Linked DNA regions of Tribolium castaneum. The protein of the gene in region 1 binds, or shares a complex with, the protein of each later gene. Links are inferred from orthologs where the notes say so. Each region holds a gene or a part of one and is shown on either strand. Other genes may lie near its edges.

What was found.
Region 2: Tfb5 (region 1) and Polr2K share a complex: the UniProt entries of both Homo sapiens proteins name them as parts of the TBP-based Pol II pre-initiation complex. The link is inferred for Tribolium castaneum from reciprocal best matches to the Homo sapiens genes GTF2H5 and POLR2K.

What each region holds. Positions count from the first base shown.
Region 1 is NC_087399.1:6,497,549-6,501,186, reverse strand, and holds Tfb5 (general transcription factor IIH subunit 5), read left to right. Parts: upstream 1-1,257; 5' UTR 1,258-1,364; coding exon 1,365-1,399; exon of another isoform or gene 1,400-1,446; coding exon of another isoform or gene 1,447-1,828; intron 1,829-2,289; coding exon of another isoform or gene 2,290-2,516; exon of another isoform or gene 2,517-2,522; intron 2,523-2,543; coding exon 2,544-2,730; 3' UTR 2,731-2,815; downstream 2,816-3,638. Other genes in the region: hydroxyacyl-coenzyme A dehydrogenase, mitochondrial, read right to left, coding at 83-659, 714-827; meiotic nuclear division protein 1 homolog, read right to left, coding at 1,447-1,828, 2,290-2,516; heix (ubiA prenyltransferase domain-containing protein 1 homolog), read left to right, coding at 3,240-3,638. UniProt on the Homo sapiens protein: Component of the general transcription and DNA repair factor IIH (TFIIH) core complex, which is involved in general and transcription-coupled nucleotide excision repair (NER) of damaged DNA and, when complexed to CAK, in RNA transcription by RNA polymerase II.
Region 2 is NC_087394.1:4,870,815-4,873,563, reverse strand, and holds Polr2K (DNA-directed RNA polymerases I, II, and III subunit RPABC4), read left to right. Parts: upstream 1-1,518; 5' UTR 1,519-1,646; coding exon 1,647-1,710; intron 1,711-1,763; coding exon 1,764-1,856; intron 1,857-1,924; coding exon 1,925-1,947; 3' UTR 1,948-1,990; downstream 1,991-2,749. Other genes in the region: Pfk (ATP-dependent 6-phosphofructokinase), read left to right, coding at 1-213, 545-769, 833-1,055, 1,109-1,238. UniProt on the Homo sapiens protein: DNA-dependent RNA polymerase catalyzes the transcription of DNA into RNA using the four ribonucleoside triphosphates as substrates.

The DNA.
Region 1 (3,638 bases):
TTGAACGCCTGTATTTGCCACAAGCTTGGCAACCTTAAAGCTCTCAGCTTCGCTTCGAGCTTCAATATTACATAATTATTACCTCTCTCCATCATCCTGATGGCTTCTGCTATATAGGGCACCAGAAGCCTGTTAACAATAAACCCGGGGGTGTCCTTGCAGGTGACGCAGGTCTTGCCCACGGCTTTGCCCCACGCCATAAAGGCCTCGTACGTCTCCTGCGACGTCTCCGGAGTCCTAACAACCTCCAAAAGCTTCATAACGGGCACGGGATTGAAAAAATGCAGCCCCCCGAACCTATCCTTCCTCTTCGTAACGGAGGCAATTTCGGTAATCGAGAGCGAGCTCGTATTTGACGCAAACATGGTTTTGGGGGGCGCGACCTCATCCAAATTTTTGAACAATTTGTGCTTAACATCCATGTTTTCAACAATCGCCTCCACGACCAAATCGCTGTCTTTCACAGCTTCGGCAATGTCGGTGCACCCCTTAATCCGGGCCTGCGATTCGCTCACGAATTTATTAGCGGCTTGCGGGTCATCCTTGTGGAGTTTTTTGGCGACTCGTACCAAGTTTTTCGCAATGCTGTCTTCGGCTTTTTTGATCAAGTCGGGGTTGACTTCCACGATGGTCACGTTGTGGCCGGTTTGCGCGGCCACCTAAGCAAGGGGGCGAATGTTAGGTTAGGTTCGGGTGGTTTGGGGTACACTTACTTGGGCGATGCCTGAGCCCATGAGGCCGCCCCCGATCACAGTTACGTTTTTTATAACTGCGTTCATGGGGCTTGAAGTTGAAAGGCTTCGCTTGATGAACAGGTTTAGGGCCATTTTTTCGCGTTCGGTTACGAGTAAAAAGTGGTGTGTAATGCGGATTTTGTTTGGTTTATTAACGATACAATAACTAGGTGAAAGTCCAAGTTTGTAACCTATGATCGACTCCCACCGCTACGTTTGTGTACTTTTTAATCATTTTATCGTTTATGGCGAGATTAGGGCTCAGAAGTGAAAATCATCGTGCCGATGGTTTAAAAATAATCCGCTTTCGATAACGAGTGCGACTTTTGTACCTGAATTTATTTAGGTATTATGTAATAAAAGTGCAACATCATTCAGTCAAGTGGTACACAGGAGGGTTCCAAAATGGGGCTATATAGCAATCCCTGTTATCAATTTATCCACTTTTTTCAAAGAAATACTTGAAAAAAAATATAATTTTGGGGAAATTTGTGATTATGCAATCAGCAATACACGTGTGAGAGGTTAGTTGCATTCTATAAGTTGTCAAATGTCATAAAAACACCAACTTTTGTAAGAAAAATAATTTATTTCTGATTTAAAAAAGTACACAATTCTCGATTATCAACAATGGTTAATGTAATGAAAGGCGTTTTGGTGACCTGGTAAGGCCCTAACAATTTTTTTGAGTTTTTGTTTGACATAACCTCAATCATGCCAGATAATCCAAATCTCCGGGAATCCCAAACTGCTTATTTAAAACCTTATCTTCCATCATAAACTTCCTTTTGCACCATGATTTGACCGCGAAGATATTATCAGTCCATCGATTTGCTGCTTCTTTTACCGGTTTTATCTCACTTTGCATTAATTTCAAATTTTGAGTATCTGTGTGAGATTTCGACAGAGATTCGAATTTTTCTTTCTGTTTTTCCAGTTTTTCAATTTCCTTCAAAATCTGGCTGTCGTCCCAATTCTCTTTCCCCACCTGCGCTTTTTCCATAGTTTCGTCAATTAATTTCAATTTTTTTGTTGACGATTCTAATTTCGTTTGAAGCTCGTTAAGTTTGCGTTTTTTCGCGTTAAGTAATTTGCTGTAATTAGGATAAAACGTGTTTTTGGCCCGTCTATACCGTTTTTCGGACACTCTCCCAGTTATCTCAGTGATCTCCGTTATTATAAGAGATACGAGGTCGGTTAAATTAGGGCAAAGTTGCGCATTTTTATGCTGAACAATTATTTGAAAAAAAAAATTGTAATTTTCGTTTTTATTTTTTCAAGTGAAAACCAAAAGAACTAGACGTAGGACTTTTTCGGGCACTTTTTACAAGGAATCTAAATTTGTCATCGGATTTTCCTAGGCTTGCTTGATGTCAGAGTTACAACACTTAACTTCGTTTTTTTTATGGGAAAAAAATAAAAACGAAAATCATTTTTTTAAATTTCTCTCAATAATTCAAAAACTAAAAATGGCACATAAAATTTTCTTTCAGAAATTGTTTTGCATACAAATGCACAACTTCTCAAAAAAACGGACACCCTGTATAATATTTACCTGGGAAAAGCCCAAAAGTAGACGGAACTCCCGATCTTATCCTTATCAACAGAACCATCATCCACCAAAGCTTGGACCACTTCTTTCACAGAATTCGCCGTAATTCCTTTCTCCTTTGGCGCAATTATTTCCAATTCATTCATTTGATAAAAATCCCCAGTCTCGTGAAACAATTGCAACATCCTAGCCTTTTTCTCCTCAAAACTTAGACCTTTTTTCTTGAACATTTTCCCCTAAAAAATGCGTTGTTTCAGTGACCAGGCCATGAAACAATTCCTTTTGTATTTAGATGAGACTACAAAACTAGGCCGAAAATTCATAATTCAGGACTTGGATGAAAACCACTTATTTATTTCAGCCGATATTTTAGAGACATTACAGGCAAAAATCGACGATCTGATGGACCAAATTAGCTTCCCAGTCGCCGAAAAAAGCAATTAATTTTTTGTAATTTGCAAAAGTGAGGTTATGTCATATTGATGTGTGGTCATTCGAATTATAAATAAAAAGCGCAGCATTTATATAATGACGTGTTTTGCTATAAATAATATCGTTGCGGGCCGGTTTTCGTCCATACTTACGCAATAAGGCACTAATTAACTGTTTTTTCAAATTGTCGGTACAAATAATACAGTTCCCTGTAAATTGGAAGTGGCTACAATTACGCTTCTTTGATAACCGACTATTCTACAGTTGTTACGCCATCACGAACATTTTTACACACAAATGATAAGAATAGAATTAAGCAATAGATAACGGAAACGTGTCACTAATTATAATTTTTCCCTGATTTAATAGCCGCCGTGACGTAACCACAGCCACATGTCAAACGTCACAATTGACTTCTTTGGTTATGTTCCGTTTGTCAAAGTTATAAAACGAAAAAACGCGTTTCTCGGCCACAAATCATCAAGTGTGTTAAGTTCCGTGTCAGTGCATTTACCCCCATCATGACGGTGCCCACCCCCAGCGAGAAACTCCTCACCAATGGCTCCACCACTCCCAAGCGCCAAAACGGCCAAAAATCGGGCCTCATGAAGCTATCAAGTTACGTGCTAGCCTTGCGTCCGTGGTCCCTCAGTGCCAGTCTCATGCCCACACTGTTGGGCTCCACCATAGCGTACAAATACCCCGGAGTTACCGATTTCAACTACGCCACCCTCCTGCTCACAATTTTCACCGTGGTGTCGGTGCACGGCGCCGGAAACGTCGTCAACACCTACTTCGACTACGTCAAGGGGATCGACAACCGGAAATCGGACGACCGGATCCTGGTGGACCACATTCTGACCAAAGACGAGGTGGTGTCTCTGGGGGCCCTTTTATACTTTGCCGGCTGTGTGGGGTTC
Region 2 (2,749 bases), on another chromosome or scaffold:
ATTTTCCAGCTCTCAATATACCAATCGTGGTAATCCCCGGAACTATCAGTAACAATGTACCAGGGACGGAATTTTCACTAGGTTGTGACACAGCCTTGAACGAAATCACCGAAATTTGTGATAGAATCAGACAGTCGGCTCAAGGCACGAAAAGGAGGGTTTTTATTATTGAAACCATGGGCGGGTATTGCGGATATTTGGCCACACTTGCAGGTAATATCGATATTAAGTTGGCAACATTGTATGAAATGAAGACAGTTTGTGTCTCAAAACGTAAAATATTCGACCCTATACAGGTTGTTTCAGAACTACTTAGTTTTTGACGTAATTTATTTCTTCCAAAATCCTCCATTTTAGAAATAAAATATAGGAGTTCGTATTACTTGTATTATCTTATTTCTGATACACCTTGTATATTTGATGCATGGGGTAATTAAATATCTATTAATGATATAAAAAAGGTAAATATTAATGTTTAAGTTTGACAGTCAATGTTGCCAACACATTCATTATTCAGCATCGCCAACTTATTTTCACATGTTAGGTCTCGCTGGGGGTGCGGATGCTGCGTACATTTACGAGGAAAAATTCACAATTAAAGACTTGCAACAAGATGTCTACCACATGGCTACGAAAATGTCCGAAGGTGTACAACGTGGTTTAATTTTACGTAACGAAAAAGCGTCAGATAACTACAATACCGACTTTATCTACAGATTGTATTGTGAGGAAGGAAAAGGCTTGTTTAGTGCCAGGATGAACGTTTTAGGTATTTATATAGACGTTTGTTTGTTTAAAAATTTAATACTTTTTTTGTGTGTGTATTGTTAAGGTCATATGCAACAAGGGGGTTCCCCCACACCTTTTGACCGCAATGTTGGTACCAAAATGGCGTCCAAAGCGGTCGAATGGATGATCAACCAATTAAAAAGCAATATGAGTTCAGACGGCTCAGTCAGTTGTTCTAGTCAAGACAGCGTCGTTCTGTTAGGAATCGTTAAAAGACAATACAAGTTTACACCAGTCGCTGAGTTGAAAGAACAAACCAACTTTGAGTACGTTTATAAATTATTAAACTGTTTTTTATAATTACTTTAAATTGTTTTAGCTTGCGTATGCCTAAAGAGCAATGGTGGTTGAAACTGCGCCCTCTATTGCGTATTTTGGCAAAACATGATTCGACATATGAGGAAGAAGGGATGTATATGACGATTGAGGATCGCAGTTTTATTAATTAAAGGCAACCGTAGCCATTTATAGTGAATTTGTATTTTTTAGCTTGTTTTATTTATTTTATTGTGTAGTTTATTTTATTAAATGAGATATTGTAAACAAATTTTGGCCATATTGTGATGACAATATCGATATTTGAAGACGGGTCAAGTGTTACAAAGTACGATTCGAGCTGGGTATGTGGAATGGACGTATTATATTTCAATAAAATTTTAATAAACTATCAAAAATTCCTGCACCTTTTTGAATTTCGCGCTTGTATACGTTGGCGTTGCCAACCGTTGGAATAACAAAAAAAAGATGAAATTCCCTAAGTCGGCATGGTGGCGTTGTTTTTATACAAAATTTATTAGAGGAGAAAACTACGTTCCCGCTCGTTTGTATTAAAAATTGTGCTAATTTAAGTGATTAGGATGTCGGAACCTTCGACCAAAGACTCAGGGGCCACGAAAACTCCCATGGTTTACATTTGCGGAGGTACGTGAAAGTGAGGTTATGTTTTGATTTGAAAATTTTCGAAAATTATTTAGAATGCCACAATGAGAACGAAATAAGGCCGCGGGATCCAATCAGGTGCCGGGAATGTGGGTACCGTATTATGTACAAGAAGAGAACCAAACGATGTATCCTTTTATTATCAATTACTAACACTTGCAAATTTTCAGTTAATTTTTCCTTAACTTTGATCCAGTGGCCGTGTTTGACGCCCGGTGAAAAAATTGTAATTAATTAAGGTTGGAATAGAGTGTTTTTTACATTGGGGTTATTATTTGCAAACCTGTCTTTCCCCTTTCCTACGTCCGACAATTCAAGCACCTTGGGCACCACCTGGGGCAATGCATCGATTTCCCAGGGCCCAGTTGTAGCGAAAATTTCAAGGTCTCGCGCAAGGGCAGTGCAGGACCACTTTCTGCAACGCAACCTCCTCTTTAACCAAATTCAAGGTCGTCCATGTGCGATCAATAAAACTAAATACACGCAGGTTCTACGCCGGTGTCTGAGCGCGCCGGTCGCGACGTGTGGCTTCGCCGTTGAAAACGCCGAGAGTAAAAAATTCGCCGATTTTTGGACTGACAATTGTCGGAGGAGTGAAGGTGGTGCAGGACGTGGGGGCCAATGATGGCCGTCTAGGGCTGCGATAACTGCGTTGTGTTATTGCACCACGTGCTGAAAGGGCGCCGGCGAGGTTTACCGTTGCGTGCCGGTTTCCCGCCAGCGCACTGAGGTAATTTTGATTTTTGAAGTGTTTTTTTGATTTTCCCCAAAATGTTTTTTTGAGCCTAAGAGACCACAACCATGGTGTGATTTTATTAAATTTTATGGAAAAAACCTATCACGTAGGATAGGTTTTAAGGTTTTGAGACATTGGACAGCCATGCATTTTGTCGGATTTTTTTTTTTTTTTAATTAATTACGGCAAAACTGTTCGAATATTATGGAACTATTTCATATGAAACTATGTAAAATGATCCTTCGTAAAGAATACCTCAATATCTATCAGACAAGATGGGTTTTA